Callithrix jacchus: one gene and its partner. The protein of the gene in region 1 purifies or fractionates together with the protein of each later gene. This does not show direct contact. Links are inferred from orthologs where the notes say so. Each region holds a gene or a part of one and is shown on either strand. Other genes may lie near its edges.

Evidence for each region. The genes of interacting proteins can lie anywhere in the genome.
Region 2: the proteins of POLR2J (region 1) and RPRD1A purify together in Homo sapiens (affinity purification with mass spectrometry; 3 studies listed by BioGRID and IntAct, with this or other methods). This does not show direct contact. The link is inferred for Callithrix jacchus from reciprocal best matches to the Homo sapiens genes POLR2J and RPRD1A.

What each region holds. Positions count from the first base shown.
Region 1 is NC_133503.1:11,371,553-11,378,017, forward strand, and holds the start of POLR2J (DNA-directed RNA polymerase II subunit RPB11-a), read left to right. Parts: upstream 1-2,104; 5' UTR 2,105-2,176; coding exon 2,177-2,229; intron 2,230-4,839; coding exon 4,840-4,929; intron 4,930-6,404; coding exon 6,405-6,465. UniProt on the Homo sapiens protein: Core component of RNA polymerase II (Pol II), a DNA-dependent RNA polymerase which synthesizes mRNA precursors and many functional non-coding RNAs using the four ribonucleoside triphosphates as substrates.
Region 2 is NC_133514.1:79,115,879-79,121,652, reverse strand, and holds part of RPRD1A (regulation of nuclear pre-mRNA domain-containing protein 1A), read left to right. Parts: intron 1-1,673; coding exon 1,674-1,803; intron 1,804-4,330; coding exon 4,331-4,437; intron 4,438-4,522; coding exon 4,523-4,620; intron 4,621-5,774. UniProt on the Homo sapiens protein: Interacts with phosphorylated C-terminal heptapeptide repeat domain (CTD) of the largest RNA polymerase II subunit POLR2A, and participates in dephosphorylation of the CTD by RPAP2.

The DNA of each region.
Region 1 (6,465 bases):
TAAGTAAACAGAACTACAGGCACATACTACTATGCGCAGCTGATTTTTAAAATTTGTAGTAGAGACAAGATCTCGCTCTATTGCCCAGGCTAGTGTCAAACTCCTGGGCTCAAGCAATCCTCCCTCCTCAGCCTCCCAAAGAGCTAGGACTGCAGATATGAGCCACTGTGCCTGGCCAGTAAGCATTTTAAGAGAAGCAACCCAGACAAAGATTGTGATGTTAGATACGAACCAGTTAATGAAGTTTTCTTTTCTATGGGATAGAAACTGCAAGTTAATAAGTAACTTCAGTGTCTGGGCTGTAATCAAACAAGCAGGAAAGTCAACACAGCCACAATCCCTGAGATTAGGATCAGCAAACGTTTTCTGTAAAGGACCAGGCATGCAGCTCTGAGTCACAACCACTCTGCCACGTAGCACAAAAGCAACTACAGCCAACGTGTAACAAATCAGCATGGCGTGTGTGGCTGGGGTGGAGCTCATGCCTATAATCCCAGCACTTTGGGAGGCCAAGGTGAGAAGATCACTTGAGGCCAGGGGTTTGAGACCAGCTTGGGCAACAAAGTTGGACCCCCCCCCCCCCATCTCTACAAAAAGTAAAAAAAAAATAAATAAATAACTGGGTGCTGTGGTGTCTGCCTGTGGTCTTAGCTATTGGGGAGGCTGAGGCAGGAGGACTTGACCTCGTGGGAGGCCTGCCTCAGCCTCCCACCGTGGTGGGATTGAGCCCAGGAGCTTGAGGCTGTAGTGAGCTATGATGTCGACACTGCACTGCAGCCTGGGCGACAGAGCTGGTGTCACACCACTGCACTCCAGCCTGGGTGACAGAGCTGGTATCACACCACTGCACTCCAGCCTGGGCGACAGAGCTGGTATCACACCACTGCACTCCAGCCTGGGCGACAGAGCTGATATCACACCACTGCACTCCAGCCTGGGCGACAGAGCTGATATCACACCACTGCACTCCAGCCTGAAGACAGAGCTGATATCACACCACTGCACTCCAGCCTGGGCGACAGAGCTGGTATCACACCACTGCACTCCAGCCTGGGCGACAGAGCTGATATCACACCACTGCACTCCAGCCTGGGCGACAGAGTAAGACTCCGTCTCAAGGAGGGCCTTTATGCTAAACTGTAGTCTGCAAAACAGCCAAACCAAAAGGTAAGATAGACTTATCCACCAAGTGCAGTGGCTCAATCTTAGCCCTTTGGGAGGCTGAGATGAGAGAATTGCTGGAAGCCAGGAGTTCAAGACCAGCCTGGGCAACACAGCAAGACCCCAACTCTTAAAAGAAAACTAGCTAGGTGTGATGGCACGTGCCTGCAAGTCCTAGCTACTTGAAAGGCTGAAGTGGATCTCCGGAGCCCGGGAGTTGGAGGCTGCATTGAGCTATGATGGCACCACTGCACTCCAGCCTGGGCGACAGAGTGAGCCACTGTCTCTAAATGATAATAATATATAAAAAGATTTACATAACCCTCCGAGCTCCCTCTCACTGCTGTATACACCCGCCTCCTTCCCCATCCGTCACCCAACTGTCCCTCCCTTCTAACAAGCCAGTGGCATCCCAGCCAGGGGTCTCACAGCAGTCGGTGTAGGCAGCCTCGGCAGGGGGCTTAGCACAGATCTGCCTCTGGCCACGAGACCTTCCTCAGCTCCCCTCACGGCTGCCAGCCGCAGCTGCCCATTCCCCTTAGCTCTATTCTCTCTATTCAGGGGCCTCCTGCTGTGCACTCCAAGGGGGTGCACGGTTGCAAAGCGAGATCAAGGGTCGTGGGGAGCAGAGAGGCACAGCTTGGGGTTTCCACTCAGTCAGGATTAGGAGATCTCTGGAGGGGCAGAGCAGCCCTCCCGGCGCTCTGAGCATGCGCCAAAAAGCGCCCACGTTGAAAGCCACGAGGGGGTGAGGGGGTGGGAGTTGGGGGGGTGGGGCTTCCATACTGACGCAGGCGCAGAGGTACTGGCCTCGCTCGGGCTTTTCTCGCTCCTGCGCAAGATCCTCCAGCCCAATAGGGGGCGATGAGCTGGTCCCTACGCTAGTTTGACCCGCCAGAGTAATCCGGAAGAAGCCTCTTACTAGGGCTTCGGAGGCGGCGGCAGCGGACGCTTAGGGTCTGGACGCGGCAGTGGTGGCGGCGGCGGCGGCGGCGGCGGCGGCGGCGGCAGGAGTATGAACGCCCCTCCAGCCTTCGAGTCGTTCTTGCTCTTCGAAGGCGAGAAGAAGTAAGTGACGCCAGCTGGGAGGAGCCGAGGTTTGCGGGGCTGCGACTGTCGCATTCCGGGGGCGTTTCCTGCCCATGTCTTGCTCCGGGAGGGAAGCAGCTTTTGCCTGATAGTCCGCACGGCCTGTGTCGGCCAAATTTAAGCCAGTTCCGGGAGGCAGTGGCGAGTGTGTCCATTTGGCAGATGAGGACACTGAGGCTCGGAGGAGCAAGTTGCCCCAGACACGGAGGAGGTGGCGGGGCTTGTATTCGAACCCAGAGTGTCTGGCTCTCCATAGCCCTCTTCCTCTGGGACGTGGCAGCCTCCTCTCTTGTCTTCCGCCCGCCGCCTCCATCCCCCGTGTCCTTTGATTTGCCAACGGCCTGTGTAAAAGCCGCAGTGGCTTCTTGCTGCCTGCTGGTTGAAGGAGTCCCCGGGAGAGACAGCTTGGGCTTGGCCCCTGGGTCCCCCACTTAGCGACTGTATCTGTACGAGTGCCGTGATCTTTTGGAGGCCCTGTTTCCTTTTCTGGAAAATGGATTTGTTACTTTTCATTTTTTTCGAAACGGAGTTTTGCTCCTGTTGCCCAGGCTGGAGTGCAATGGCGCGATTTCGGCTCACTGCAACCTCCACCTCCCAGGTGCAAGCAATTCTCCTGCCTCAGCTTCCTGAGTAGCTGGAATTACAAGCATGCGCCACCACGCCCGGCTAATTTCTTATTTTTGGTAGAGACGCGGTTTCTCTATATTAGCCTGTGTGGTCTCGAACTCCCAATCTCAGCTGATGCTCCTGCCTCGGCCTCCCAGAGTGCAGGCATTACAGGCGTGAGTGACGGCCTCCGGTCTATTACTGTTCTTAAACATGGGATTTGGCCAGGTGCGCTGGCTCACGCGTTTAATCCCATCACTTTGGGAGGCTGGCTTGAGCACAGGAGTTGCAGGCTCCAGTGAGCTGTGATCGCATCACTGCACTCCAGCCTGGGCGACAGAGTGAGATCTTGTCTCAAAAAGAATTGGATGAGGTAATTTGTGTCAAGCACTTGGTCTAAAGCTCGGCACCTGGAAGACCTCATAACCACTGGCTCTTACTGTTCCCAGGTTGGCGTGCAGAGGTCTTGGTCTGGCCCTTGCCGGCCAGTTTGGCCTTTTTTTTTTTTTTTGGACAGTCTCACTCTGTCCACCCAGGCTGGAGTGCAATGGTGTGATCTCACGGCAACCTCCACCTCCATGTCCCAGGTTCAAGTGATTTTCCTGCCTCAGCCTCCTGAATAGCTGGGATTACAGGCATGCACCATCACATCCGGCTAATTGTGTGTTTTTAGTAGAGACCGGGTTTCTCCATGTTGGTCAGGCTGGTCTCAAACTCCCAACCTCAGGTGATCTGCCCGTCTCTGCCTCCCAAAGTGCTGGGATTACAGGTGTGAGCCAGTGCACCGGGCTTGGCCTCATTTTAGAGCAGACTCTCAGCTGGGGACCATTTGGCAATAATTGGGGACATTTATGGTGTCAAAGGGGGTTATGACTGGAATCTACTGGATAGAGGTCAGGGTGCTGCTGCTGTCCAGCAAGATAGCACCCCACAGGAAAGAATCATGCAGCCTAAAACGTCTGTGGTGTCAACATGGAGAAACTACCTTAGAAAAAAGGGGCAGTCAGGCACAGTGGCTCACGCCTGTAATCCCAGCACTTTGGGAGGCTCAGGCAGTTGGATCACGAGGTCAGGCGTTCAAGACCAGCCTGGCCAACATGGTGAAATCCCGTCTCTGCTAAAAATGCAAAAAAAAAAAAAAAAAAGCCGAGCATGGTGGCACACGCCTGTAACCCCAGCTGCTCAGGAGGCTGAGGCAGAATTACTTGAACTGGGGAGGCAGAGGTTGAAGTGAGTCGAGATTGTGCCACTACACTCCAGCCTGGGCAACAGAGCAAGACTCCATCTCAAAAGAAAAAAAGGAGCAGGCTAGGCATGGTGGCATGCGCCTGTGGTCCCAGCTACTCAGGAGGCTAAGGCTGGAGGCTACAGTGAGCTGTGATCACACCACTGCACTCCAGCCTGGGCAGCAGGAGGGATCACTTGAGGCAAGTTCAAGACCAACCAGGACGACAAAGCAAAACCTCATCTCTTCTAAAAGAGAGGGAGAGGAAAGACAAGAGGAGGAACTCCGAGAAGGGCCAAGGTTCCACAGACCTGGGGTAGGGAATCAGGCTGGAGAGGTCTTTATGGGAGGAAGAGATTGAGAAAGGTCTTCAGGAGGAGGCAGAGCTTTTCATTTTTATTTTTTTGAGACAGTCTTGCTCTGTTGCCTAGGCTGGAGTGCAGTGGCGCAATCTTGGCTCACTTCAACCTCCTCCCAGGTTCAAGTGATTCTCCTGCCTCAGCCTCCCAAGTAGCTGAGAACACAAGCATGGACCACCACACCCAGTTTGGGTTTTATTTTTAGTAGACAAAGTTTCACCATGTTGGCCAGGCTGGTCTGGAACTCCTGACTTCAGGTCATCCATCTACCTCAGCCTCCCAAAGGGTGGGGATTACAGACATGAACCACTGCACCTGGTCCGAAGGAGGCAGGGTTTAGACTTGGGGTGGGCGGAGGGGAGCCCCTGTCCCTCATCTGTGGCCTCTGTGTCTTCCTAGGATCACCATTAACAAGGACACCAAGGTACCCAATGCCTGTTTGTTCACCATCAACAAAGAAGACCACACACTGGGAAACATCATTAAATCGTAAGTTTCCCGTCAAAGGCTCTCAGGGGCTATGTTTAATAGGCGCCTCTGGGCAAAACAGAAGTTTTAAGATTTTCCTCCATCTCTCAGCTACAGGAAGTCCTTCTGGGGGCTTGCTCTGGGCATTTGGTAATGTTGGTACTTTATCAAAATGACGCTGACCTTCATGTCTTCACATAAGCTACGCTTCTGTAGTGGCTTATTCTGTAGACAAACGTGCATTTACTTTTTTTTTTTTTTGGGAGTTTTTGCTCGTTGCCCAGGCTAGAGTGCAGTGGCGCAATTTTGGCTCACTGCAACTTCTGCCTCCCAGATTCAAGCGATTCTCCTGCTGGGACTGGCCACCATGACCTGCTAATTTTTGTGTTCTCAGTAGAGGCGGGGTTTCACTATGTTGGCTAGACTGGTCTTGAACTCCTGACCTCAGGTGATTCACCTGCCTTGGCTTCTCAAAGTACTGGGATTACAGGCATGAGCCACGCACCCAGCCTTCCATTCACTGTTAAGTGCACGTTCTGTGAGTGAGTGAGAGCAGGTTCCAGCAGAGTAGGCCTGTGTGTTCATGGGCTGAGGGGCACTGAGCAGCAGTCAAGATTAGCTCCCCCAATGCCACCCCTATTTGTGACCTCAGTGCCACCTGGCACGCTTAAGATGTATGTGGCAGAGATGAGAACTTGTGTTTAACAAGGGAAAGAGGTAGGGGAGTTCTGTGGTTGTCCAGTGCCAGACAGGTGCCTGGCCTTGGTTCATGGGTGTTCCTTTACACCACTGAAGTCCTAGCTAGGTGGTTGATTAGGAATGTGACTGTCATTTCACTTGTAGACTTGGCTCTTCCCTCTGGTGCCATCAGTGAAGCCAGGCTTTTCCCAGGCTGTGAGAGGTGTGCCCAGGCACAGGGATGGAGGACTCCTCCCCGGAGTCCAGCCAGTGCAGCCCCTATGCTCTCCTCCAGCCCAGTGTTGCCAGCTGTGCACGGGTGTCCTTTGTGGTGCTCACAGGAGACCCTGCGTGCCCAGGGCACAGCACACAATGCTGCCCAGAGCCTGGGCCCTCCTCTCCTTGCTGCCTTTATTTGCTGTGGGATGTTCTTTTTGGGTCCGATTCATTGAACACTGGCTGGACATCCACTGCCTGGGAGATCTCTTTGCCAGCCCTGTGGTTCTTTGTGGGAAGAGGTTGCTGGAGGCTGTTTCCTGCTCAGGTCCTTCAACCTTAGGGGTGCAGGGAGGGGGTGTGTGTGTCTTCTCCCCTTCAACTTCATGCATGCAGGGTGTGTCCGAGTTGGGGGTGGGGTGTCCCCATATGATCTATCCTCCTGAAAGCATTGCTTTCCTTGAAGACTCTTGGGGGGGAAAAAAAAACCGGGGGGAATATTTGGCTAGAAAGCCTGTCCTTTCACTCTGAGCCGGCTTCTGCCTGGCCTGAGCCTAGAGGGCACAAGGCTAGATTCTCACACTGTCTTCCTTGGATTTCAGACAATTGCTAAAGGACCCACAGGTGCTATTTGCCGGCTACAAAGTCCCCCACCCCTTGGAG
Region 2 (5,774 bases), on another chromosome or scaffold:
CAGGGATTTGCTTGGCTGTTAGACTTTTTGGATTCCAGTCCTGGCTGATTCCTTTCTCCTTCTTTATCTTGGGGCAAATCATGTTTTAGACTTTGTTCAGCTGCCAAGTAGAGACAATAATGGTTTCTTACATTTTAGAATTAAATGAGATTCTATATGTAAAGTGCTTAGAATAGGGTGTAGCACATAGTAAAAGTACAGTCAGAGGAGCCCGTTTGTTCAGGTACCCATTCAAAAGTAATGCAGGCAGTCTCCCAATTAATACAAATTTGAGTTTCTAAACTCATTTGACACTGAGAGGGCAAAAACCTGGATTGAATAATACCAGCCTATTTTGTGGGTGGGATTGAGAGGACAGGGATGGGTAAAAAAGAGACAGGATTGAATGTTAGGAAAGGATCCTGACATCTTAACCGGTTATACTCTGTGGTTTATCTAACCAGACAAGGAGCCTCAAAACCAGAAGTTGTTCTCTGTTATTGCCATCTCTTATCTTTATTCCTTGCAAGGAACTTTCAAAAGTGTGAAAACTGGTAGACAGCAATTTAAACAGACAAACCAGGTTAAATGTACAGTGGCACGGAACAGGTTTGTAATGTTTGATCAGTTGTGACTTAGTATATGGGTTGGTTGAGTTTCTAGTTGCCCCCTCAAGAATGATGTGAACTGAGAGGTAACTCTAATATGTTGAATGCTTAAGTTTATAAAATGAATACTTAATATCCAGAGGACCACATGTAGCCTGACCAAGATTTTTGTCTTAAATCCATTAAGATAGCCGACATTAATATGATACTGCATAATTGGTTCTGACCATAAGTTTCCTACACCATTGTAATATGGATGCCACAAGGTATGATGCTTCTGAATGTAATTGTACTACACTGAGTGATTCAAGTTTAATTCTAGTAAAATATAAGAATAGTATAAAAGATTATATTCAACACTGTTTTCCTTATGTATAATCTTGAGTCATATTCAGTACTACTATGCTGTTGAACATTGTAACCAGTAAAAATATACCTCGAAATCTTGTCCACTTAATTAGAGAAATTACTACACCCACAGAACATAGTGAGTAGCGGAATAATTTTGTCACAATGAATTCAGTTTAAAGTTAATGACCATGTAATCTAAAGAAGGAAACATCCAAATTGTGCCCATTTACTCTTCCTAACAGTTAATCTGTTAGCTTGGCAAATATTTATTGCACAAACAAAAAATATGTAATTGATTAAGGGGACATCTCTTGCAACCTGTTTTACATTTCATGCTCTTTTGTTTCACAACAGCTTAATAATGATTTTGAATTAACATGGCTATTAAAACAGTCCTAAATTCAATGTAGGATTTAGGGTGCCATCTTAATAACGTGACCAATCATCATTTTATTTTAAATGACTATATTTCATATAGTTTGTAATAGTTTTACTGAAATTTAATACAGGATAGAGTAAACAAGATGCATTTATACATAGACATTAGTCTTTCTGGTGAGTTTAGCAGCAGTGACTTTGGTTAGTTTGGTAATAAAATGAGAGAATAGGGTTGAACTTGATGCATGAAGTTCAGTAGGGTTATTTTAGTTCTCAAAATGCTTAATTCAGTTATTGAGAAAATTTGTCCAAGCGAAGATGTTTTAAGTAGATTTTTAACTTTTTCTTATTTTTCAGCCAAACCAAACAGGAAGCTTACTTTTCTCTACCTAGCCAATGATGTCATACAGAACAGCAAAAGGAAGGGGCCGGAGTTTACAAAAGATTTTGCACCAGTTATAGTGGAGGCTTTTAAGCATGTTTCAAGGTATGATCATTGTTTTGGGTGTTAAGTAATCTGTTTTAAATGTACCATATGACCTTTTGCTTAATTTGCCTTAAGCTATTAAAATAAAGAGCAGGGAATATAGTTCTTTGATACTTTTATTTGAAAAGGCTTCCCTCTAAATTTGTAAATCTATTAAATGCCTTCTATGAAGGAAAAATATTTTTTGAACTGTTGCTAAGGTGGGCATTTGGTGTACTTGAATTATAGCTTTCCTTTAAGAGATCAGAATCAACTGCTATATTGGAATGAACTTCATTAAAAATGAATGAAGGTATTGAATTAAAAATTTGTGTGTTTATAAAGCTATCAGTCTTGTAACTAATATTTCCATATACACTAGTACTTTTTCTATTTTTCTTTCTTTTACTTTTTTTGAGACAGAGTCTCACTCTGCCCAGGCTGGAGTGCAGTGGTGCAATCTCAGCTCACTGCAACCTCTGCTGCCCGGGTTCAAGCAATTCTCCTACCTTGACCTCCTGAGTAGCTGGGATTACAGGTGCCTGCCACTGCACCTAGCTAATTTTTGTGTTTCTAGTAGAGACAGGTTTTCATCATCTTGGCCAGGCTGATCTTGAACTCCTGACCTCATGAGGCACCACGTCGGCCTGTTTATTCTTTACCTGCCCTCTGGGTGGTTTTGTACCCTGCATGTATTTGGTTATTCTCCATGCTTTAATGATTTATAGTTTTATGCTCCAGTCCAGATTTTTTGTTGTTGTTCCAAAGCTATGTGCCCAACTGCCTTTTGACATTTTTACTTGTATGCAACTCAGACATCTCAGACTCACTGTGTCCAATATGAACTCCTTATGTCTTTGCTTCCTGCCATACTTGCTTCTCCCCCAGGTTTTACTCTATGAATGGCAACTCTATCTATCCAGATGCCTATGCAAGAAATTCCGTTATTTTCAACCTCTTCTTTCTCTTTTACTCCACGTATCTTGTATGATACACATTGACTCAATTCTTTGGATTTCTTTCCCTTTTAGTTATCATAATGTCTTTTGGATTAATTGCAATAGCCTTTAGTACTGTTTAATTTCTTTAGAAAACTAGACAGAGTTGCAGAGCTGGTCATACTTCCTTGCCTTTGAGTGGTTCCCATTTGTTTTAGAGATGAAGTCTAAAGTCCTGAGCAAGACTTAAGATGTTCCTTTGTGGCACTGCCTATCTCCCCAGACTCCTGTCTCACATTTATTCCCCACAGTCTGTAGTTTACCGTTTAAACTAAATTAACCTTTTTTAGTTCTTTCTGCCATAAGGCTTCTATATATGTTGCCCCTCCCTAGAATTCAATAAAATATTTGTTGGCTGCCTGCTATATGCAAAACCCTGAGTAATAGTGAACAAGACAAAGTTCTCTTCTGCTGGAGCCTAAATTTCAGTGGATGACAAAGGTAGTAAGTACATAGACAAGTGAATGCATATATAGTATCATGTCAGATGACAAATGCTAGCAAGAAATACAAAGCAGGGAAGGAACTAGATGGTATGAGGGTGCTCAGTTATGTGATGAGATAAAGAACAGCTATTTGGGGAAGGTGGCTTTTGAACAAAGACTTAATGGAAGGGATGAAATGAGCCATTTGACTAAGTGGAAAGGATTCTAGGCAGAATATGTGGCTGAAAAATGAGATTGCTATGTGCCTGGGCATGTTTGAGGACCTTAGCAAGAAGATTTGTACGGAAAAAGGTATTAGGTAGTGTGTACTGAGGGATTGCCAGGAGGCAGAGCATGTGGGCCTTATGGCCCAGAGTAAGGACTTTGATTTTATTCTTGATATGATTGGTAGCTCTTGGAGACTCGAGAGCTGTATAATCTGATTTATATTATTAGGATGCTTTGTACAGAACAGAGTAAAAGAAGAGACTGGGAGATCCATGACAAGACTTTAGAAGAATCCAAGCAAGAGATAATAGTGTTTCAGTCTACAATGATAGGGATGAATGAGGTAGGAAACGGTTGGGAGTAGTCTGTTTTTCATTTCCCCATATGCCCAGTCTTTAGATCTCAAATTAAATATCATTTCCTTAAATACTCTTCCAGATATCTCTTAAACTGGGCCAGGTCTGTCTTAAGCACTTTGTTCTCTTTGGTGATACTTATAAATAACAGCTGCCATAAGCTGCATTTACATCTCCATATCAAAGATAGTAACTAGATCAACAAATATTTGTGGAATAAATTTAAAAATTGCCTATTAGAAGTCTTCTGTAGCCTCACGTCCAGCCCCCATTAGGTTAGGAAATCCCTAGTAGCCTGTACTAAAACTTTTATAGCCTAAACTTTTTTTGGTTGTTTAATAATATGTTCATAAAATGTTTACTGGAAGCAAGCAGTGTGTCTTGATGACCTAACTCTTGAACTGCTGGCCACAATAGTGGTGCTAAGTAGACATTTGGACAGTTTTCTTCAGGGAATTAATGTCTGATTGTATTTAAAGTTACCATTACCTTTTCAATAGCACTATGCATTTTTACTGTTAATATTTTTCTTTTTCTTTAGTGAAACTGATGAAAGTTGTAAGAAACACCTTGGAAGAGTGTTGTCTATTTGGGAGGAAAGGTCTGTTTATGAAAATGATGTATTAGAACAACTTAAACAAGCTCTGTGTAAGTGTAGAATCCTAATCTCTTATCTTGATCTCTTCATTAAAATGTATTCTTTCATTCAAACTTAAATGTTCTTTCATTTCAGATGGCGATAAGAAGCCTAGGAAGCGAACTTACGAACAGATAAAGGTGGATGAAAATGAAAACTGTTCCTCTCTGGGATCTCCAAGTGAACCACCACAGGTAGAAGTTTTACCCTGTTAAACTAGTTAGAAACTTTTACTTTACTTTACGCCTCCAAACTTTATTAATTTCGTTTCACTTCTGTAAATTGATTTTTTTATTATGCTTTTGGATACAAGAAAGCCACATGCATATCTCTTATTTGCTCAACAAATTAATTATTTTAAATGTAATATGTTGTATATTGTATATTTTGTATAGAAATCATATTTTGCATAGAACGAGGATTTTTAGTAGCTAAGTATGGTTACATGTGGTGAGATTTCAGCTATTTAAACAGATTGTTTCTTTTTTTTTTTTTTTTTTTTTGAGACGGAATCTTGTTCTGTCACCAGGCTGGAGGGCAGTGGCACGATCTCAGCTCATCGCAGCCTCTGCCTCCAGGTTCAAATGATTCTCCCACCTCAGCCTCCTGAGTAGCTGGGACTACAGGCATGCACTACCACACCCACCTAATTTTTGTATTTTTTTTTTTAGTGGAGACGGTTTCACCATGTTGGCCAGGATGGTCTTGATCTCTTGACCTTGTGATCCACCCTCCTCTGCCTCCCAAAGTGCTGGGATTATAGGCGTGAGCCACCGTGCCTGGCCCAGACTCTTTTTAAAATAAAATATGACATGCCTATTTTGTTATGGATATATATTTTTTGAGATGGAGTTTCACTCTGTCTCCCAGGCTGGAGTGCAATGGCATGATCTCAGCTGACTGCAGCCTCTGCCTCCCAGGTTCAAGTGATTCTCTTGCCTTGGCCTCCTGAGTATCTGGGATCACAAGTGTGTGCCACCATGCCTGGCTAATTTTTGTATTTTTAGTAGAGATGGGATTTCACCATGTTGGCCAGGCTGATCTCAGATTCCTGGCCTCAAGCAATTCTCCCACCTTGGCCTCCCAAAGTTCTGAGATTACAGGCATGAGCCACTGCATCCGGACCATATATGATTTAAATACACAAAAATTTTCATTCTTGGGCATAAACACTGCCACCTTAACTATTTTTGTTTTTAAATATAAAAACTTGTGTTAGAGTGATAAATATGTATTCATACATTTGTCTGTAACTATATAGAATTTTGTAGTCCTATGGAAAAGTAAGGTAAGTTAGAATCATTATCTTAATACTTCATGTCCTCTTACATTGGTACAGTATGGCATT